Linked DNA regions of Nothobranchius furzeri. The protein of the gene in region 4 purifies or fractionates together with the protein of the main gene of each other region. This does not show direct contact. Links are inferred from orthologs where the notes say so. Each region holds a gene or a part of one and is shown on either strand. Other genes may lie near its edges.

What was found.
Region 1: the proteins of nek2 (region 4) and anapc1 purify together in Homo sapiens (affinity purification with mass spectrometry; 3 studies listed by BioGRID and IntAct, with this or other methods). This does not show direct contact. The link is inferred for Nothobranchius furzeri from reciprocal best matches to the Homo sapiens genes NEK2 and ANAPC1.
Region 2: the proteins of nek2 (region 4) and anapc4 purify together in Homo sapiens (affinity purification with mass spectrometry; 6 studies listed by BioGRID and IntAct, with this or other methods). This does not show direct contact. The link is inferred for Nothobranchius furzeri from reciprocal best matches to the Homo sapiens genes NEK2 and ANAPC4.
Region 3: the proteins of nek2 (region 4) and anapc2 purify together in Homo sapiens (affinity purification with mass spectrometry; 4 studies listed by BioGRID and IntAct, with this or other methods). This does not show direct contact. The link is inferred for Nothobranchius furzeri from reciprocal best matches to the Homo sapiens genes NEK2 and ANAPC2.
Region 5: the proteins of nek2 (region 4) and anapc7 purify together in Homo sapiens (affinity purification with mass spectrometry; 3 studies listed by BioGRID and IntAct, with this or other methods). This does not show direct contact. The link is inferred for Nothobranchius furzeri from reciprocal best matches to the Homo sapiens genes NEK2 and ANAPC7.

Annotation. Positions count from the first base shown.
Region 1 is NC_091752.1:26,832,888-26,836,970, reverse strand, and holds part of anapc1 (anaphase-promoting complex subunit 1), read right to left. Parts: intron 3,304-4,083; coding exon 3,236-3,303; intron 3,082-3,235; coding exon 2,943-3,081; intron 2,445-2,942; coding exon 2,358-2,444; intron 234-2,357; coding exon 141-233; intron 1-140. UniProt on the Homo sapiens protein: Component of the anaphase promoting complex/cyclosome (APC/C), a cell cycle-regulated E3 ubiquitin ligase that controls progression through mitosis and the G1 phase of the cell cycle.
Region 2 is NC_091748.1:39,288,312-39,292,953, reverse strand, and holds the start of anapc4 (anaphase-promoting complex subunit 4), read right to left. Parts: upstream 3,163-4,642; 5' UTR 2,984-3,162; intron 2,351-2,983; 5' UTR 2,343-2,350; coding exon 2,235-2,342; intron 2,153-2,234; coding exon 2,047-2,152; intron 1,978-2,046; coding exon 1,845-1,977; intron 1,762-1,844; coding exon 1,687-1,761; intron 1,609-1,686; coding exon 1,582-1,608; intron 1,497-1,581; coding exon 1,452-1,496; intron 1,352-1,451; coding exon 1,267-1,351; intron 1,048-1,266; coding exon 940-1,047; intron 866-939; coding exon 695-865; intron 1-694. UniProt on the Homo sapiens protein: Component of the anaphase promoting complex/cyclosome (APC/C), a cell cycle-regulated E3 ubiquitin ligase that controls progression through mitosis and the G1 phase of the cell cycle.
Region 3 is NC_091745.1:17,481,439-17,485,444, reverse strand, and holds the start of anapc2 (anaphase-promoting complex subunit 2), read right to left. Parts: upstream 2,801-4,006; 5' UTR 2,618-2,800; coding exon 2,519-2,617; intron 1,996-2,518; coding exon 1,746-1,995; intron 1,577-1,745; coding exon 1,255-1,576; intron 1,177-1,254; coding exon 1,044-1,176; intron 979-1,043; coding exon 759-978; intron 1-758. Other genes in the region: E3 ubiquitin-protein ligase RNF25, read left to right, coding at 3,349-3,461, 3,676-3,747. UniProt on the Homo sapiens protein: Together with the RING-H2 protein ANAPC11, constitutes the catalytic component of the anaphase promoting complex/cyclosome (APC/C), a cell cycle-regulated E3 ubiquitin ligase that controls progression through mitosis and the G1 phase of the cell cycle.
Region 4 is NC_091742.1:7,800,372-7,805,212, forward strand, and holds the start of nek2 (serine/threonine-protein kinase Nek2), read right to left. Parts: upstream 3,211-4,841; 5' UTR 3,102-3,210; intron 3,094-3,101; exon of another isoform or gene 2,952-3,093; 5' UTR 2,936-2,951; coding exon 2,840-2,935; intron 2,342-2,839; coding exon 2,124-2,341; intron 2,059-2,123; coding exon 1,818-2,058; intron 1,551-1,817; coding exon 1,468-1,550; intron 1,387-1,467; coding exon 1,260-1,386; intron 1,097-1,259; coding exon 865-1,096; intron 296-864; coding exon 241-295; intron 130-240; coding exon 53-129; intron 1-52. UniProt on the Homo sapiens protein: Protein kinase which is involved in the control of centrosome separation and bipolar spindle formation in mitotic cells and chromatin condensation in meiotic cells.
Region 5 is NC_091757.1:28,342,514-28,347,070, forward strand, and holds the start of anapc7 (anaphase-promoting complex subunit 7), read right to left. Parts: upstream 2,964-4,557; 5' UTR 2,850-2,963; coding exon 2,749-2,849; intron 1,168-2,748; coding exon 981-1,167; intron 727-980; coding exon 607-726; intron 1-606. UniProt on the Homo sapiens protein: Component of the anaphase promoting complex/cyclosome (APC/C), a cell cycle-regulated E3 ubiquitin ligase that controls progression through mitosis and the G1 phase of the cell cycle.

The DNA.
Region 1 (4,083 bases), on a different chromosome or scaffold from region 4:
GCTCTGAAATGTGTAAAATAACATGGGATAGAATATTTAAAGCAGGGTATGTTGTAAGATTAATTGCCGACTGCTGCATAAGCGATCATCTGCTGTCCTCACGCAGCTTAGTGCATGTTTTAGTTGGGTTTGGGCGTTACCTGCTCAATGGCGATGTACGTTGGCAGCATCTCTGGACACTCTTGCGTCACGCATTCGTAGAGCATAGCTGAGAACATGTGGGTGTCCTTCCTCTGTCAGACACAAGAGAGCAGGATTCAGTGTTTCATCCTCTAATAAGAGAAATGTTTGTTCAGATTTCTGTTTTCTTCCTGGAATTCTTCATGGTAAGTTTGCAATATTAAGTTCAAGTAAACATCTGTTGTTATGCACAACCACAGAGAGGACTCGAGTGTATTCTCTTAAATGTATTGACTTTTAAATTGCACAGTCACACTGTGGTGCTATTAGGTGATGTATCTGATTTGCAGCTCCATCAACTCAACAAGTAATAATCCGTTTCTGCGCTCTTTAATTTGGAAGTCGTCTACTTGGTACAAGTTAATTTCATCTTCTTAAATGATTAACTTATTTCCACAAACTTCAAAACCAGGTCACATCAGGCTAAATCAATTATCAACAATATATGAGCTTATTTCATGCTAAATTAGACAAGAATCAACAAACAATCTTACAATTAAATGCTAGAAAACAGTATTCCATCTAAAATAAAATAAAAACCAAAAGGTTGATGTCTAATAACTGAGGTCAGGCTACCAGCAGATGGAGAATTAGAGAGACAGGGCTGATAAAAACATACATTTTGTTAAATTCAAATGCACGATGTGGAAGCTACACCACAGAATAACTTCTTGAGGTTTAGTGTGAAGGATGAACCGACTGACCTCAGTAAACTACACAAACACCTGATGTCATGATGAGGCAGCTGTTTATCAGCCGTGTAAAACTTGGTCAAGAAACATAATCCAACCACTACAGACCTTAATTCAGCATTAGCCAATAACATTAGACATCCGCTTATGTGCAGGTGTCCATCACAGAGCGTGCACACGCGTGTTTGCAGAAGTAACTAGACTCAGCAGAGTTTTGGAGCAGTTTACAAAGACACAGCAAATTATGAAGCAGCTACAACCCGGATTAGACCAGAAAAGGCTGCAGGCAGCAGGACAGCAGGAGAAGAACTGAAGTAGAGCCCAGCAATGGGACTGAGAAACTGCAGAACTCAATGCAAGTAATGCAGCAGTGGGTGGTTTTAAGGTTGTTGTGACAGAGAGAAGCAACACCACCATGCGTTGAAGCAAAGGGTGACGGAGGCGTGAAACTTTTGAACCGTCAGTCAAAAGGCAGCTAAGACCGCAAGCTTGCGATTGGTCAGCATGCCACTTTCTTTAATTTCATAAACAGCAAAGCCACCTTGCCCACCTCGCCTACACAAAAAATAAAAAAAGAGTGCAGCTGTGGTTGGGACAATTATTACATTAACTGATGGACCTGTAAATAGTTTATAAATAAGGTAGAAATAGATAGAAATAAGTTCCTCACGCTGATAAATAATAACTAATCTCTCTGAGGACACGGTGCTAGTGCACTCTCCTACAGCACATTGACATGACTAAATAAATGTTATGCAACATTTTGTGAACATCAATTTGCATGCATTTGTTATAAATGCCACTGCATAATTCTTGCTGTCAGTATTTGCAAGATATTGGTATTTGGGTCTGTACTGGTTAGACTTAAATGAGTTAAACCAAGGTCTATAGCCCTTGGGTCATAGACTATGAGCTGTAAGTAATATTGGTCTTTTTATACTGGGAATCAGGAGTTATTTCAGTGATCATCTTGTTTATTATTTATTTTTGTCCTGATTGTTCCCTGAGCAATTTTAAGACTGAATAAAAACAAATAAAATCAACATTAATTGAAAAATCGTCTTAAATAATCGAGATCTCAATTTCAGTCACCATAATCGTGATTATTATTTTTGCCATAATCGAGCAGCCCTAGTTGGACCTTTAGATAGTAGCTAGGAAAACATCTCATATTGCACCTTTAAAAAGACAAAACATAACTGGTTGTTTTCCAGGGTAGAAAAATCTATTTTTTGAATAAAAAGCAGCCAAATATTCTCCTCAGTGATGCAGCTCAGAGCGCAAACAACTGACCCGTTACCATCAAGAGCTGATGTCACATTCAGTTATGTAGTTTTGATTTTCTAATATCCAATTAAGAGTAAAACTCTAAATTGCTAAAATAAAAACTTTTTTTCTCATTCTAATCATTTCCTGTCATTGATCAAAAACAAGGCAGCTAGGCCACCAACACACGATTACGTCTGGGTTCAGCACAAGACTCACATGTTTCATTCCTTCAGATGTTTTACAGAAGAAATCCGCAAAGGAGATGAGGGCAGGGTTAGAAGTGAAAGTTGAGATGGTTTCAGGCTGTGGACACACGCACAAAATTATTGAACTTGTTCAGCAAAATCTTATGTATAAAATAATAAAACAGTGAGGACTTTGAGAAGGAATGGTGCCTCAAAAATGAAGTTACAGGAGATAAACTGGGTCAAAAAGGGTTATAAGAAACTAAACGAATTGTAAGAGAAGTAAGAAAGGACACTGAGGACAAATGGAGTCAATAATGTTTTCCTCTGCATGTGTTTTAATGCATACCAAGCTCACGAGGAAATTGTCTATTCAAATTTACACGAAATGCAAACACAGTTTACGATATCAAAAAATGTTGAATTTTCTTTTCAGGAACAAAAAAGGGATTAACAATTAATACGCATTTATTCAGAGCTGGACCTGTAACAGTTTCTGTAATCTGCAGACTACCTAAATGTAATATGAAGCAAATAAAACTATCTGGCTAAATCTCTGATTATAGATGCAGTTTGTTCAGAAATACGAAGCCTATAGGAATAAGATACATTCCACCTTAAAGGCTGTGACTCCAGAGCTTCTGTGGTTGACAGCTGTGGTCAGTAGACTCTTCCATCCCTGAGGGTCGTCTTTGTAGGGAAGCTGCCCGGCCCGCAGTTTTACATACAACACCCCGTCCTGGGATAGGATGGACCTGAAAGCAACATTTCAGAAAGTAGTACAACGTTTTATTGAAAGGTGAGAAATGTTACATTATGTAAATGCATCCTGGACAGCTGTATAATTCAACAGAAATACATTTCTCCTTTGCAAAGAATTATTTCCTTACATGTTTCCTCTTTACTTACTTCAGATGATGTGTTTCTTTGCTCAGATCCAGAGTCAGCTCCCAGTAACGAGGCCCCTTCACCTTCACCTACAATGAAGATTTGTAGCAAATGGAAGTGGAAATAAAAAGGAATAATAAAGTTCCATTATTCATCATCACATACAGCTGAAATCACTTCTCTGCATTTGACCCATCCCCATGGGGAGCAGTGAACTGCCGCAGTGGTTGCACTCAGGAACTACTGGGTGGTTTATGTTTATGTATTTAGCAGACGCTTTTGTCCACGGAGACTTACAAGTGATAATGAAGCTAGCAAGTTGCCCTTGAGGCTAACAACAAAATACTAAATCAGTCAATCCAGGTGGCAGTGAGGCAGCATAATCAATCATTGAGGGAAGCGAACAAGGAGTAGACAGAGTGAGGGACGGGTGCAGGGAGGGTCCTAGTTTAGAAGATGCTCTCTGAAGAGCTGGGTCTTGAAAATCGACAAGGACGCCCCTGTTCTAGTAGTTCTTGGTAGGTCATGAAAATAATGGATTGTCCTTATGTGGTGTAGGTACTGTTAGCCGACGATCCTGTGATAACCGGAGCGGTCGAGCCGCAACGTAAGCCTTTACAAGAGAATTCAGGTAAATGGGAGGCGTACCATACAGGACGTTGTATGCTAGTGTAGCGATTTGAATTGGATGCATGCAGCAGAGGTAGCTAACGAAGCTCAATGAGCAGAGGGGTGAATTGCTCTTTTAGGCTAACTGAAGACCAGACGCGCTGCTGCATTCTGGACCATTTGAAGAGGTCTCACAGTGCAGGCTGGAAGACCAGTTAGAAGGTTGCAGTAGTCGAGGCGGGAGATGACAGTAGATTGCA
Region 2 (4,642 bases), on a different chromosome or scaffold from region 4:
AGACCGTATGTTTGCAGCATAGCTAGAAAAAGCTGCTCTGTCTTCCTCCCTCAAGTGTTGAACTCTTAACCCTCTCAGGCTCAAAATGAGTTTCGATAAAAGGACGAACAACTAAGTCCTTCAGGGGAACTTCGGAGTTAAAAAATGCTCATGAAACACGTGTGTGGAGTAACCAGGTAGGCAAATCTGCAACGCCTGCCTCCAGAGGGTTAAAACATAAAAACAAAATTGGTTGCGATAAAGACAGAAAAACTGAAAATTGTATAATTTATAAGCACTAGTGATGGGACGTTCACGAACAAATCAAATCTTTTGAATGAGATTTCAAAGTGAACGATGAGAGCTGAGTCCCCGTGGAGAGCCGTTCATCTTGTCTTCCTGTAACGACAACCCCCCTAGCCGCTCAACCCCCACCACTGCTGTGACACCCACTCTCCGCGCGCCCTCATGGACACCGGAGGAACACGTTGCTCCCAAATACACCCCCATGGCTTCGTTCAAGGGATCTAGTCTTTTGAACTGCTCTTTAAGGTAGACGAACAACTAACGAGCAGCCGCCTTGAAAGAGCTATAAATCCCATCACTAATAAGCACACATGCTAAATTCTGCTAATTGTCCAACAAACTCACACAGCAGGCAGGAAGTGTGGTGGTCTGCCAGGAAAAACTCTGACAGGAAACAAAAACAACTGACCTGAACAAACTTAGTGAGACGATGATCCATCTGCAGGAGGATGTCCTCCCACGCTTCGCACATGCATGTGAGTGACAGGTGCAGGTACTGCATCAGGGTGGAGATGTGAGTGAACTTACGCGCCATCCTGGTGAGTTCAGGCAAACAGTCCGACAACAATCCTGTGTCCAGCTGAAACACAAGGAGGGAAGTTAGAGTTAAAGGAAAGAAAAACAAAGTGTGGAGGAGGAACGTGTCCATCTCACCTGGACGTAACAGATGTCTGCGCTGCTGTCAGCAGACTTGACTTCTGTGATGACAGACAGAGACTTGAGGTCACTCGACAGACTCAGACTGCGACATGTTCCTGAAACCTGTAGAAAGTTCATCAATTAAAGTCACAGTCAAATCCGTTAATGCCGTCTACTAAAGATTTTTGGCATAATTAGCTACTTTTTTCCTGCATTTAAATTAGAATTTTTATGATTTCAAATATCTATGCTAACTTTAGAGTCACTTAAAAACATTTTTGGTAAATTTTTTTTACAGACGACAAATGGAACAACTCATCTGAACAAACAGAGCTGCCTTACCCCATCCAGCGTTGCAATCTTGTACATCCCGTACGCATACAGCTCCACATTTCCACCATCTCCTCCAAGAACAAGTACATTTAGTCTGCATGGAGACAGCTTTCATTGGTTCCCATAAATAAAAATTCCAATATCTTAAGGATGTCCATTTGCTCCTGGCAGTAAGTGACTCTAACCATATTTACCTCACTTCTCCAAGGAGGTTGAGTATCTCATCAGACTTCTCCTCACTGTGAAACAGAAATGAATGCAGTCAGTTTCTGTTTGTGCTATACATGCCACATACATCTATGATAAAAAAAAAAGATGTCCCACCTGAAGATCTTTGAAGTTGTGCTGTAGCTGAAAACAAAAGTTTGGACAAATATCAGGCCAGTCAATCCAAAATGTCTTTTCTTGTGACAACATTTTTAATTTTACCTCTTGGGAAGAGTTGGTAATTTAGGAAGAAAAAGTTTAGATTCATCCTCTGAAGTGTAAAAGGAGCTGAGGACACTGAATCACACACAAAAAATCCTTCATATCAGCTTTGACAAGATTTCACAGAACGTGGTATGTTTGTTGAGCTTCCTGATTACCTGCTCTCCTCCATCACCTCCATCCAGTTCATACAGGTTACAGGACTCTGCACTGGAAACATGTGGAGGATCTCTGCTTTCTCAACCCCACAAAGGACAACCTGCTTGGTGTCTCCAAGACTGAAGGCCAATACTGGGGTTACAAAAAACAAATTCTCACAATTCCATTAAGACAAAAATGTGATAAAAAAAAATCCCTTACTTTTGCCATCAGGCCTCCAAGCAAGTGCGGTTATCTTCTTTCCAGTATATTCACTGGGTGGTAGGCTCCAAACCCGGTGGAAACTAGCCAAGCGATGCAGTAGCACCTGTTGAAAATCACAATAATAAACCATCCAAACAACAGGAAACAGTCACCTTGATTCAGAACAGTTAGGGATTTAAAGTCACCTCCCCAGTTGTGTTGGCCAGAGCTATCAGATCCCTCTTTGGAGACCATGCCATACAGAGGACCGGGTTTGGAAGCTGCTTCTCTCCCACTTGCCGAAAGGCAGGCATGTTGTTAGCTGAAAAAGAAAGAAAGTTTACATTCATTATTGTGTGATAAATGGCCAGCAGGGGCCTAATTACAAGGTTTAGAAGATGTACCAAGATGGGCTATTAAAAGTGAGAACAGATTCAATGAGTGATCTGTAAAACATCTAATAAACCTGTACATGCATAACAGAATAATCATCAAAAATCACATACCTTTTCAATATTTCGTTTACTATTGAATATACAACTGATTATTAAATATTAAAAATCTTTTTCTGTAAAGATAATAAATAATTGTAACAATAAAGAAAAATAGAAATGTTAGCATTTGAATACAGAGGCCCAAATGCAGAGTCAAGAATCAGTAATGAAAGAACCGAGTTATGAGCATGACGTCAGCAATAAGACACACTAAACAATACAACTCAATGCGGAGAGCAACGAGACCTTAAATTACACTGCGATGGAGACGAGCTTTGAAACATTTATGTGTTTTCTGCGTGATAACAGTAGAGTTTTCAGGGTCACAACTAAAAGAGAAAACATTGAAGTACTTAACGAGATTCAAAAACAAAAAGGGAGCTAAAGGCACAACACTTTTCCATTTCCAACTCATTTTATGAAGCATAAATTAGCCGCTCGTTAGCTGGAGCCTCACTCACCGGTTTTGCTAACAGCTGTTAGCTAGCAGGTAAAACTGATGATTCACAGCGATTATTTTAACCCGACCAGACGATAACACCAAATAAACCCAAATCGTAAATATACGAATTTAATATCTCATCGTAATATTTTCGCAGTCACTCAAACACCGCCATATTTCTACTTCCACCAATCCCTGTAGAGCAACGGCAGCCGAGAAGAGACAAACGTATTCAGAAGGGGGGGGGGGGGGGGGGAATAAAAAAAAACTCGATTCCTAAATATGTCTAGAGATTTGCACCCCATGATGGCGCCTTTGGTAAGGATTTAAAACAAATTAAAGTTAACGTTTTGGTCCTATTTTTATTTTTTAATAAATGTTATATTCTATGCAGATTAAAAAGTAGATTTAAACTTTGAGGGTTTAGGACAAAATATAAAATAAGTTTTTTCATAATGTGTTTTTGTACTTCTCTGTCAATTGAATGCATTGCTTAGAATTTGTTTGGATTTAAAAGTTAAAAGTGATCATAAAATTCAAGGTTGACTAAATTATATTAATTCCATTAGAAATATAGGAAAGTTTGCAAGGGTGGTTTCATTCTGGTGATATAAAACTATGCTAAAATATTTCAGTACTCATAAATAGATGCTGTACACATGTTATATGGAGACGTCGCCATTGGATAAAGTAGTTATTTATAAATAACACTTCATACAGAGGGTTGGGTGATGACAATTGTCAAGTAGAAATCCAAATTACTCACCAAGTGTTTGCACACGTGTGTATTGTGAGTGTATATGGAAACTCCTACTGGACTTATCAGCAGCACTTAACTGTAATCAGCAGAATGAAGAAGAGCCAGAATAGCTCAGAGAGCACAAAATGTGATGGTGGACTAGAAATAGACCAAGTGAGGCTGCATGGTGGTCATGGTTTATTCTTTCCAAGGCCCAGGATATCTGTCTCGCTTGGTGAGAAATCAGGAAATGCATGAAGTTTAACAAAAATGCTGAGCATCATTCCATATGTGTGTGCAGAATGGAATCGGACCGAATAGTGACCGGGTTCTTCAAGATCCTCATAATAATTTTGAGTTGTTTTAAAGCCATGGAGGAACCAGCTCAGTCTGAGAGGTCAATGGGTGATTATTGTGTGTTTTCAGATGTGGCCAGTTCAGATTATCATAAAAGATTACAAACATTCTGTTGTACTTGCATACAACAGCACAATTGGTGTGAAACTTAGCCATCCCAACATCCTGTGCTTTCTGTGTATAATTAACCAACACCTTGAGCTCCTTCTGTTCACCTAGACCCCCTCAGTCTTCATTGCTCCTGCCAGCAGTCTGGCTGTGTAACATGAGCTAGGGGCCAAATTTAGCCCCACTCAGAGAGCAGTTAGGGACCAGCACAGATGGGACAGCAGCCCACTGCAGAGGCAGAACGCAATTGGACCCTAAACCTGAAAGATCCTACCTGTCATCTGACCAATAAGGCTGCTCTTCTGGGGAGAGAGGCAAAGCCTCTTTTTGTTTCTTTCTCACATAAACAAGACAAACCTGGACCCAGTAAAACCAGGAAGGAGGACTAGGACACACAGCACACTTGAAGGTAGGTTTATTAATTATTTAACAGAAATTAATCAAATGGTAACAATAGTGGAGCATCAGTTTCAT
Region 3 (4,006 bases), on a different chromosome or scaffold from region 4:
TGTAAAAAATAAACTCTAAATAAACTATGTTCACATCCAGAATCTAACCCGGGTCTTCTGCATGAGAGTCAGACATCTTACAAGGTGAGCTACACTCTAGTAACATTCACAGTATCTATAACTTTTATATCCTTGATGACAGCTGAAACGTTCAAAGAACGGTTCGAAGCGAAAATGGCTATTTTGTTGCTAATTTGCAGGAAATATCTAGAAGAAAGTTCTACAGAAAGTAGCTAAGGGTCCTCAGAAATATAGCTAGGTTTGTTACTAGGCGTTAGGAAGTTGGCACTGCCTCTCTCTCTGCTGCTAAAGCTACGGATAGCAAATGCTACGGGCTATGCCTGAGCGTGAACGCGCATGAAGCAGCCTGCTCGACCCGAGCATCTCTCTTTTTCTGTGATTTTACAGAAAAACAGGCAATCACAGTAAAAATGCCAGGGCTCATTCTACAGGACCAGGGCATTGCAGGAGAATGTATGAAGAAGACATTTATTATTTCTATACATGTTTTGGCTGTCACACTTCCGTACAGTCCCTTTAATTTAAAACAATAAAAATTTAAACATTTTAAATTATCTCTAAATGACCAGATGGTTGCTTGTTGCTCTGATGAAACACAGAAGATCTCTGATAACGTTAAACACAAAGCCTCAGAAAGCAGGTTTAACGTTCTGACCTTATTTATAAACACAAACAAACCATCACTGCATCAGCCACATAATGAAGATAAAACATGACCTCCTCTCCTCAGGTCTCACCTCGGATGATGCTGAAGAGCTCTTCGATCCTCATGTTGACGTAGATCCTGCAGAAGAACTGATGCATGTGGCATCTCCACTGCTTCATGATGGAGCTGGCAGGCTGGGTGCCCTGGATGCTGGACTGAATGGGACCACTGGGAGCAGCAGGAACAGGAGTGGCTCCGTCCACCTCACTGGCGAACACTTTGCTCAGCCAGCCAAGAACCAGCTCCAGCCACTGCAGGGACAGAAGAGCGTCAGAACATGAAGACAGGAGAGGAAACGGTGGAAAAGGGGTTTTACCTCCTGGAAGTCCAGCAAGAAGGAGCGCTCGTACTCGCCCCGGCAATGCTGCTCCATCCGCTGCTCGATGAGCTTGTGGAGGATGCAGGTGATGGCCTCTGAGCTGACCCACTCCAGCAGCTGTAGCTTCAGTCTACAAACACAAACAGCTGATCAAACATTCATCCGGACGAAGCAACAGCAGAAACAATCAGCAGTGAGATCCTCTCACAGTATGTGGCTGAGCTCCTGCAGCTGCTCCAGGGCCTCCTGACACCAGCACCTCAGGACCGGGACCCCACACCCTGGGCAGGACCCTCCACTGGGGCTGTCTGGAGCCTCGGCCACATCCTCATCGCTGCCCTCCAGTTTCATGTAGACGGAGAAAGTCCTGCTGTAAAACTCCAGCACTCGCTCCTGCAGAATGGGGGGAGGAGAGAACAGCAGGAGGGCTCTGATGGTGGTGAAGGCTCGCTCCTGGAGGCCACTGGGACCTGGACCACACAGACCACCACGACCCTCATCCTGCCACGCCCCAAGCTTCTCCAAACCACCTGCATGGAGGGAGATGGGAAACTAATTACCTGTTCCTCTTTGGTTTTATCCACAAAATAATATAGTGAAAGTCTGGAAAGCAAAAAAAATCCAAACAACTTTAGAAGTTGGAATAAAATCTTAAAGATTCAAGGACAAGGTCATCACTACTGTATTTGTTCTACTTGCTCAGAAAAGGTTCCAGGCGGTCCAACAGAGTCCTAAAAGCAGTGAGGAGAACCCATGCTCGATCTTTTTCCTCCAGCTCGTTCTCCGGCTGTTTCAGGCAAGACCAGAACTCTGGAACCACCGAGGACGACAGGCGCATCTGCAAAGTTTCCAGCAGCCAGATCCCGAGCAGTCGGCCCAAACCATGACTGCAGAGCAGAAGCAAGGAGTCAGAGAGGCTCTGGTCAGACACCGGGCATCCAGAAGACACCTAGAGAAGGACCCAAACAGAATGGTGGTATGAAATCCACCACAGAATCATCTCCAACCAGAAAAGGGCTGCTGGATGTCTGGTATTCAGGGGCAGGTGGTTAATGTAGGAATGGATGAGAGATGGAATCAGAACTGAGTAAAAGAGCAAAATCATTTCCAACATAAAATACACATTTTATTATAATATAGGTGTTTAATATAAGCCTTTTTCGACATGTCATTTGTGTTTGTTTTTAACTAAATGGCTGACTCAAACTTATGAATATTGAGTTGTTAGTAGTCAACCCATTTTTCTTTGCATGGAGTAAAGTTGTCAGTAAACACGATGACGTCAACAAATGTAAGCCGAAATCCACCGAATACTCCTGCTGACTATTTATAACGCCAGTTTTGTGTCTAGCCCTTAATAAACCAATGTAAAATCCAAAACATCATTCAATCGTGTGATTTACGAATGGAGTCTTGTGACAGCACTTCATTCAGTGTTTGGTTGCTCGTGTCCGAGGCTCTGACCCACTCACCAAAGCTGCAGTCACGGATTCCCACGCCTCAGCGAGCCCCTGGAGCGCTCCGGGCTCAGACATTTCCACCGAATCCGATTCCATCATCATTTCCTCCATTTTATGACACTTTCTTCACAAATGCCGAACCGGCTCCTGTAGATTCAGCATTTAAACCTCAGCATGTCTTGTCTTACCGCGGCGCTATGTGTAAAAAGCATGCCCCGTGTCTCAACCGTGTTTCAACGAGTTTACTAAATAATAACTTTTCCATTCAAGCAAATAGTAATTTACAATACAGATATGAACATGGTATGGCGGGTTGACTTCTTCTACTTTTTTTTATCACTTACATGCTACAGGGGTGGACACTGCCCCCTGCAGGTACCGTCCGTAAAAAGTATTTGTTGAGTTTGAATCGGTTTTAATGTTTACTCGCCCCCTCTAGCGGTTAGAATAATCACTACAGCCGGCCACAGACACAAGTTGACAGAACTGAACTACAAAATAAAACATTTCAAAATTGCTTATACAAACTCCACCAGGTGTCAGTAAAGGCCAAATGTTATGAAACTGTACTTATTTTTGTATAAAATTTAAATAAAATCTTTCGAAACGGATGTTAATATCAATAAATATTTCGACATATCTTAGAGAGTAATATAGATGCTTAATGTCTGTGAAGGTTCTCAGTCATCCAGGTCATTGTAGTCTAAGGAGCTTTGAAAGAAAAGCGTCTGGACTTCTTTGAGTTGCTTGAAGACAAAGCTCCTTAGACCATAGATGCTTAATGCACACAAATACAGCTATAAATAATAAATAAATAAATAAACATTTTTAAAAACTGGATCATGACATGTCTTTTAAACGCCGTCGTGTCTCTTATTTTGACAGGTTGTGTGAAAACCGTATCCGCCTTAGCAGCAGCTAGCAGCAGAGACATCATCATGGCAACCGAGTACGAGTGAGTTTGTTGATATGGCAAAAATTCCTTCAAAATATTCATGACACGCTTTGAATTTTACCCGCACGCTCCCGCACATTAAGGTTTGCTGTTCTCGGTACAATCGGATGAAATGTCGTAGGTGTTGTAGCTAGCTGAAGGGGAAGCTAACAGGTTACGTCAAAAGGGCCAGGCTAAAAACAGTAAATAAGCCGAAAACCGTTTTTGTTTACAGTGTTCAGTCTGAGATCGAGGTTCTGCAGTCCATCTATCTGGACGAGCTGAAGGTGGACAGAAGGGACGAGGGGTAAATCTGCTCATTTCAGAACATCTTTGTGTTATAAATCACTGGTTGGGTTATATGTGAGCAAATAATGATATGAAGACGTTAAATATTTGCAACAAAGGGATAAGAATGTCTCCCAAATCTATTTGATGGGAAAAAACTCAGCTGATTATGTTATATATATGTATATATATTTTTTAACTCTTACCATGGGTTTAATTTAATGACAGTCAACCAGAATTAAATGCATCTGTATAAAAAATTATTAGCAATCAAAACA
Region 4 (4,841 bases):
ATAAAAACATCTCAGTTCAGTTTGTCCAAATGTCTCCGTCGGTTTCTCATACCTATGTCTCTGCCATAGATCAGTGCCAGGTCCTTCTGGTGCTGCAGGTCGCCGTAATTCTTCAGCAAACTGTCTGCTCTAAAAAGCACAGATAGAGGGAGAACAAGAATCAGCTGAAAAGACCAACAAAGAAAGACGGCGTTGAATGTACAAAATAGGTCAAATGTGGGTTTTTTGTAGAGAATTTACCGTGCTAGCTTTTCATTTGCCAGTTTCTCACGGACACACAGCTCCTGCTCCCTTTCTGGAGTTAAGGAAAAGAAGGAAACAAAAAAAAAACAACAACAACGTTGTTTCCATGAACACTCTGCAACATGTTAACACCACAGTTAAGCCAGGGGCTGAAGTAGGTCAGCGTTTGACTGTAATATTTGTTTTTTGTTAAAGATAATAAACCAGTTCCATCCACACAAATTGGTTTGACTACAACGCATCAGTCTTTAACCAGCACCTTTAGTTACAGATACGCTTATTTCATTTATTTATTGCTGTGAACATCACCTACAGGGTTCAAATCAGTGCCACCTACTGAAACAAATGCTTGTTTGTTTTTCAAAAATGGGGAAACTTTGCTTTATTCCCCAAACAGATTCTCCCTTTTTAGTTCTTTCTAAAATCAGCATTAGGAACTTTAACGTTTTATTTGCAGGTGGAGGAACAAACTTCTTCTAGATAATGAATTCCACAACAATCAAAAGAAGGCTACATATGTTGCTAATCATTTGCATTTTTACAAAGTGACCCAACTTCTTAGAAACAGGGTTAAATATTACCGTTCTGTTACACATGATGTTTGTGTAGCACAAGTCTTACTCTCAAGTCTCTCCTCATGCTCCCTCAGGGCGAGTTCCCTGTCCCGCACTGCCTGTTCCCTCAGTCGGAGCTCTGCAGCTGGGATAGACACTTCAGCTGGCTTATGGGGGGCGCGGTCAGGGTCTGGAGACTTCCTTTGGGTCCGTATCTGTGCCTTCCTCTGCTCCTCGGAGACCACGTCTCTCAGCAGACTGCTCTGGAGGATCGACTCCACAGACGGCCTCAGATAGTCCTGCCAACAGTGAGGAATGATTTCAATTCAAAAATACTTCATTGATCCCAGAGGAAAATTCAAATTTGTGCATCATCACAGCAGGAAAACATGCACAGTGCCTACAAAAGTGCACAGCCATCTTACACACTATTACAACATTGTTAAATAATTCATTCCAAACCTTTAAGTTGAGCATCTTGCTGAGTAAGGCATTCAGCTCCTCAGAGTACCGGTATGGGATTCGTCTGAACTTTCCCTCTCGGATCTTCTCTGCCAAGTCTTGCTGGTTGTACGCTGTGAACGGAGGCCTAAATGAGAAAAACCCAGGGAATATTCTTAGGGGTGTTGGAAAACTGCTACAGGGAAGGAAAATGTGTGGAAGAGCTTACAATAATGCACAAAGTTCATACAGCAGGCACCCCAGGGACCAAATATCAGACTTCTCGTTGTACGACATCCTGTTAATTTGTTCCTGCAAGAACAATAATGACTGAAATTGAGTCATTTCTATAAAAAGAGAGATTTTTAAATGTTTATTTTAATGTGTAAAATCTATTTTTAAACTGTAGATCTGGAAAAGCAACCGTCTCATATACAGGTGAAAATGATTCATAACTAAACAATATAAATAAAATTCTAGTAATATGTTCAAATGAAGACAATAAAACAAAAATTGCAAATATCCCAGAAACTTTTATAATCAAAAGCTCAACAGATGTGACATCATCAAGTAACTTACAGGAGACATGTAGTACGGCGTTCCCACAAAAGTCTTTGCAAAGCTGGTGTCATGGTTCAGAATCCTTGCTAGACCGAAGTCACCGAGCTTAACGTTCTGTTTAATGTCGAGGAAGATGTTGGCTGGTTTCAGGTCCCGATGCAGGACCGTAGCCCTGCCGTCACGCCGCCTGTGACACTCCTTCAGGGCCAAGGTGAGCTGAGCCATAACTCTCAGAATGAACCTCTCCTCCAAGTAACGCCTGGAGAGGAACTAACTTGTAACTTTGCAGATTCACAGAGGACAGACGCATTCGTGAGCCCTTACCTTTCTTTGATGCACCGGCTGATGAGACTGGAAAGGTCTCCACCTTCACAGTACTCCATGACGATGTAAAGCGTGGTGTTCGTACGATCTATGATGCGGTCGTAGTATCTCACTATGTTTGGGTGCTTGAGCTCCCGCAGCAGGTTCACCTCTGACACCAGCATCTGCTTCTCACTCTCTGCCATGGTGCCGTAGTCCAGCTCCTTCCACACCAGAATCTACAGAACACATGGGCATCATTTACAAAGAGTTTTGTCGTGAAAACATACAGTTTTTACTCCAATTAAGAAAAAAGGGGCAGATATGAAATGTATTCACTAGACGTAAAAAGGGCCTTTTTGTCAAATGAAATCCTTTCTATCCTGAAATACTAATTAAAAGCTGCAAAAGATTTCCAAAAGGAGCAAGTGAATGGTCTCTTAGGCTGTTGAATATATCTGGCAACTATAAACTACTTTGCAGCACTTTTTTAAAATCTTATATTGTGTTAATTCTGAGTATATTTTGATAGATTGGTGTAATTAGCAATACAGACTGTGTTTCAAACTTATTAAAATTCTAAATGTTTAATTATTTTAATGTTTCACACACATTTTTTCAGCTGTTAAGAGTCCCAATCACTGCAATGAACAACTACAGGCACTTTATGGCGAATCGTCTTGCTTTAAACATTTTACCAGCTGTTTTTTTTAGACTTCGTTTGGAGACATACTCACTTTCCCGTCATTTTTCCGTCTCACTTTCTGGCATCTTCCATAGGAACCGGAGCCTATGGTGTACAACACCTCGTAGTCCTCAACACGGGTCGGCATCTTGTTTTAGTCAACGCTAGCGTCAACGTTAGGGCAGATTCACACAAGATTTAAAGCTCGTTTAAACCAGAAACTTCAAAACTTATTGAGATTTTTAGCAAAGTATCGTTTGTCTGACCAGATGATTAAAAAAATAGAAATGTACGTTTACTTATTATTTACTCACTTAAATCGCTTCTGTGTGTTGTTTGTTTCTCAGAATCAGGAAGTATTTCTTCTGTTTAAAATTAGTGCTGAAATACCAGCTCGTGATTGGCTCATTCGCTCCATCTTGTGGCTTCGGATTGGTCAATGTGAAGAAACAACTCACGAGGTTGTCAGGTACCTAAGTACCGCGATAGTAGCGCGGGTAGACGGTATTATTGTTAAACTGTCCACACGATGGCGCTAAAACCCATGGTATGAATGACAGGACCATGATGACATCTAATATATATATATATATATATATATATATATATATATATATATATATATATATATATATATATATATATATATATATATATATATATATATATATATACATACATATATATATTTTTCAATATTTATAGAACAAATCAAACAAGTGTTTTGACGAATAGATGTTGTGATAAAAACATATAAATTTAACATTGTATATTTCAGTAAATTGTTTGGGACTTTTTATCAACTTTGTGATTTTAAAACACCTTCTGCTCGGTTAAACTTTTAATATAAGTTTTAAGCAGGTGTTTTATAGTTGATAATTTGGCTATGTAATGTTAGCCTTTTTAGAGAGATCTGTTTGCTTGTGTTTTTAAAACCTTTTTGTTACAAATAAACCCATTTTAAACTCCTCCACCAGTTCTTATGTTACCCCCATCCTTCACATTTTTACAACACCTGTCGGGGACGTAACAAATTGTCTCGACAGTGAAATGAAACAATCTAAATCATTTTCTGTATTTTAAAAAAGTGTCAAATGTCTCATGATGAAATAATAGAACTTAAGTAGGCTGATAGACTTGTTTTGTGTTGGGGGTGTGAGGGGTGGTGGGTAATGTCTTGATGTGAAAAAGAGGCAGATATAAGTTTTTGCTTCTTTCTGCTCCTTTTCATTTATGATTATTTGGGAACATGAGTTGTTTTATGTAACTTTTATTTGATTGATTGAATGAAATAAACGAAGAGAAACAAACTCATATTGTTCATTTCATTACATGATTTAATTATGAAAGTTCCTCCTTCTTGTTCTGTGAAGCAAAGCAGTCTTAGATAAGAGGGAGCTTGCGAGGGACCTTGGGCAAGCAACAGTATCTTTCTTGCAGATTAAAAGCACCAGTTAAGACTTATGTCTCCAAATGACCAGATACTGAAGAGGGCACACTGTAGATGAAAACTGACCATTTCTGGAGGCTATAATAGGCTAAATACCCCAGAATACTGCTGTTAAATTACAACTGTTTAACTTTGAAAATGGCATCTCATAAGTCCTAAAACTTTTTTGTTAAACCACTCAAACCTCCTAAATAAGGAATTCATCTATTTCATTTATCTCTCCTCCCCAAAACTTTTATGACTACTTAGGCATCAACATTTTTATTTTCATTTTAAACAAGGATAAGCTCTAAATGATTGTTTTTTGCATTCTCCCCAAACCCATAACAAGGGAAAAGCAACTTTAATTTTAGTTTTGGCTTGTAAAACTCAAATCTGAGAGGAGTAAATCCTCTCAGTGACAGATGATTCCTCTAAACGTGTGATCCCCACGTGGGATAAATGCAGTCTCTGGGATCTCTGTTAGTTAGCGGTCTTCTGGAACGATTCCGATTATCCTCTCTGCTTGCCAGCACCACACATCGAGTGAGATCCCAGAGCCGGTCTGTCAGTCTGCCTCTGCAAAGGTCACTCCTCCAAAGAGCTGGAGGAGTTTGGACATCAG
Region 5 (4,557 bases), on a different chromosome or scaffold from region 4:
GTTCTGGTCTGGATGGACCGTAACCTCCTGCCTGAGGGAAGCGGCTCAGAAAGTCTGTGACCCGGGTGCGAAGGGTCAGCTGCAATCCGACCTGCACGCCCCCGAGTTCTGGAGACGTACAGGTCCTGGAGAGATGGAAGGCTGCAGCCAATCACCTTCTCAGCAGAGCGCACAATGCGCTGCAGTCTATGTTTGTCCCTCACTGTGGCTCCAGCGTACCACACAGCGATGGAGGAGGTGAGGATGGACTCAATGATGGCCGTGTAAAACTGCACCATCATCTGGGCCGGCAGCTTGGCCTTTTTCAACTGCCGCAGAAAGTACAGAATGGGAGATTGCTCCACGGTCATCCATAATCTGTATGCTCTGGGCAGTTACACGTTTCTGAGGAGCACGTGAGGGATGGATTGAGCTCTTTGTAAGATTTGTATTCAACTACTTTCACTTGACAACAAAACCATGGAAATGCATTCAATATTCACTTTGATTACCCCCGATATTAAATGTCATTAAGGATATTTTCTTGTGCAGCCACAAATCAATTTCCCTCTGGGATTAATAAAGTATTTTTGAATTGAATTTGAGGTTTGAATCGCCAGCTCTTACCTTTGGAGTCCTTTGTCTAGATGGAATCCCATCCAGCACAGCGATGGCGTCTTTATCCAGCTTTAAAATGGTGTAGCATTCAGCTATCTTGTACTTCACTTCTATTTCTGATGGCAAACTCTACAAGACACGGTACCAAATTTGAATAGCCTTTGCACATCAAAAGCACATTTTCACTTCACAATGAAACAAATCTGTTTAGTGATTTTTTTAAAAAGACAACGTTGAGCCTACTAAACCGTTGTTTTCAGTATGTGATTGTGAGACTGTTCTGAGATCTGTGAATCTATGACAATATGACCAGACCATAGATCCCAGATTATAAGAAATTTAGTAATGAACTAGTTTTCAGCAGAAACTATTTAAGTACACACCTGTGCCTGTATGTTAGATGCTGCTCCACCAGTTGAAGTACGAACTTTAGACGTTTTGTTGAGCACCTTTTTTTGTTGAAGAGCCATATTGTACTTGCAAGCTGCATTTCGGTACTCCTTGTCATGAAAGATGGCATCAGCATGGTAAACCAACAGCTGATACTTCTGGGCTGGAGAGAACAGCTCCCTTCAATCATAAGACACAAATATTAGTTTTGATTAATAAAAGACAAAAGAAAAGAAACATCTCATCTCTGTGATCTTCATGGTAAAAATGTAAAAAACAGCAGGAAATTTCTTTAAAACATGGTGAATAAAATGAATGAAAAAACATTTAGTATTTGTTTATGCTGCATTTAAGCAGCCCAAAAGCAGTTACTGCTTTTAACCCTTTACAGGCCAAGCGTTCATATTTACACACTTCACACACATCATTAATTATGTCAGTACGCCTTTTCACAGATTCTTAGAATTATGGGATTTCACCAACCAATCACCAGGGATCAAGCTAGTCACAGTTTGCGCCATGACACAGTTTGACCAATCACTGCAGGGCTATAGCACGCCAAAGATTGGTGTGTCTGAAAGATCAGAAAACTGCCTTCCTGCAGCTTAGAATCCTCTTATGTTTACAGTCAGATCTCTAAAACTAACAGGGTTATGAAACGCACACATCATAACGCTGACTAGTTTAGCTAAATAAGGATATGTGTGTTGTAAATGTTAAACTCAATGATGTAGGTGAAATCATAGCATGAAAATCAAAGCTGTCATATTTGATCATACACCCTCAACAAGTACAACAAATTATGTGTATCTGTAGGTAAACTCTATTGTTCTTTAGACATAATCATAATAACAGTAATAATAACAATTGTACTGAATACTGAATATATTTTTCTGTTTTAAACTACGACTTCTATGTAAAATGGAGGACAGTTATTGTGCCAGCCAATCTCAAAATCAGTGATGATAATGATGATGAACAAGAAGAAGATAGTGAGGCAAATCATCAAATATAAAATATTCTAATAATATATTCCATTTATTTTTTTAAAATGCTAATCTGTTTTTAAGAAAAACAAATTATATTGTTTAATAATTGTGATATAAATCTGTATAATTCTACAGTGATGTAATGTTCTAAAATTAGCTAGATTATTCTCGAGTCTCTTATAATCATTTATACTATTCAAAAATAGTATTTAACTTGTTCGTGTCTTTTGTTTTAGGATTTACCAGAACAGAGCCAGCGTCCATATTTGATCACTTTCTTTGTCACTGACTTTCTGGATGAAAATAAATATTTTTGAAATTTGTAACAGAAGAATATTTTTGTTATAAACCACAATAACACCCTAAGGTTTACATTGTAATCACTCAAATGAATGCTCAAATGAAGGATTAAAATAATCAGATCCACAACATAGCGACAGAAAGAAGAAAACTAGAACAATCACAAATGTGTCTGGCAACTTGTCCTGAACTATTTAACAGCTGGAGCCACTGTTACATGCAGCTGTACCCTCGGCTGTGACTATGTCTTGGACAATAACAGCGTGTTTACCACAGAAAATCAACGCAGTTCATTCGAGTGACAATTTAATACAATATTGCCAAACAGTTGCTTTCAACTATGTCAGCTGCCGTTGACACCAACCTAGTCTTCAGATATCACTGCGGAATTTTTCCCCCCATAACAAGCAAACACAGGTAAGTACAAAAACACTCATCAGGAAATAGACGTGTCCCTGCAAAAATTACTTACGGGTTGTTATTACTCATCGTCAGCAACAAACTGCTCAATATGCGAACATTTGAGTATAAACCAGCCGCAGCCATATCCCGAACGTGGTCAACAACATTCATTTTTGTGTAATGTTAGGTCTTGCTATGGGCTTCTACGACTGATTCAAAGTTTTTAGCACAAAATAGCTAACGACAGCTAGCATCTGATGTATTAAATATGGCGCCGAATAACCTCCCTTCCTCTCACTGATGCATTTAGGAGCTCTTCGCCAGCTCGTTTTCTTAACAATCAAAATTCTACCAGAGATGTATTTTGGAGTCCATGGACGATTCAAACGTGGTTAAGTAAATGTGTTCGATTTTTAGTTTTATTTCTAGTTCTGAACATGGTTTTGAAGCAGAACGATTCTGTAACTTATTTCACAATAAAAGTTAGGGGTAGATTGGACATTTCCGACAGGAACGCATCATGAAGGAAAACCGCAACTCTCATTGGTTTAACATATATGGAAAATATTTATTTATTTTACATTCTGACAAAATTTACTCTGATTAGCAATAAATACTAAAAAGTTAATTGGAATTAGTAATTTTATTAAGTCTTTAAAAACAAATCTCCTAATTAAGCACAATTGTCTTAAGGATTTTTATATAAAAAATCCATGTCTGATATTTCACAAACTAAACAAGTAGAAAATTGTGTTGATTATATATGTGGACAGACTTTAGGACCCAAGTGTTGTAGTGTTGTACCCATCGACATTAGTACCCTGACCCAATATGGCGGCTGCAGTGATGCATTGTTCCAATGACCAGGAGATATCTATGTGGAGTCTGGCAGAGGTCAAGTGTGGAAAAAGCCCTGACCCCAGCCAGGCTCTGTAGAAATCTGAGCAGAAGCCAAAAGATAAATTGTGGTCTCACAGACAGGACTTTTATGGTGAGTCTGGATACCTGTTCCTCTAGGGTTCATGGGATTACATGTGGTATGCCCCAGGGTTCAATTTTAGGCCCAGTGCTTTTTAACCTTTATATGCTCCCTCTTGGCAGTGTCATCAGGAGACACGGGGTGAATTTCCACAGTTACGCTGATGATACACAGCTGTACATCTCTGTGTCTCCTGATGACACACGGCCAATGGATGCACTTTTTAACTGCATTTTAGACATCAAAACCTGGATGGCAGAAAACTTTCTCCAGCTCATCCAGGACAAAACTGAAGTTTTAGTTATCGGTCCTGAGACCCAGAGAGAGAAACTTTACCAAAATTACAATCACTGTCTTTTAATCCATCTTCACAAGTGAAGAACCTGGGTGTCATTTTTGACTCTGAGCTGACTTTTATCCATCATATTAAAAATATCACCAAAATAGGTTTTTATCATCTAAAGAACATCGCCAGAGTCTGCCCCATTCTCTCTCGGGTCAATACGGAGACGCTGATGCATGCGTTTATCACCAGTAGGATAGATTACTGCAATGCCCTGCTTTCTGGTCTTCCTAAAAAGAGGATTTCAGGTCTACAACTATTACAAAACTCAGCAGCACGTGTCCTGACGAAGACCAGGAGGCGGGAGCACATAACTCCGGTTTTAGAATCATTGCATTGGCTCCCCATATGTTTCAGGATCAATTTTAAAATACTTTAACGGTTTTTAAGTGTCTTAATGGTCTTGGGCCTTCTTATCTTTCAGAACTGCTTTTGCCGTATAAAACCACGCGGTCTCTGCGCTCCTCTGGCAGCCGTCTCCCTGTCATCCCTAAAGTCAGAACTCATATTCAGCACCTTGGGCTTCCTGACAGGGTTGCGGAAGGCGCTTTATAAAT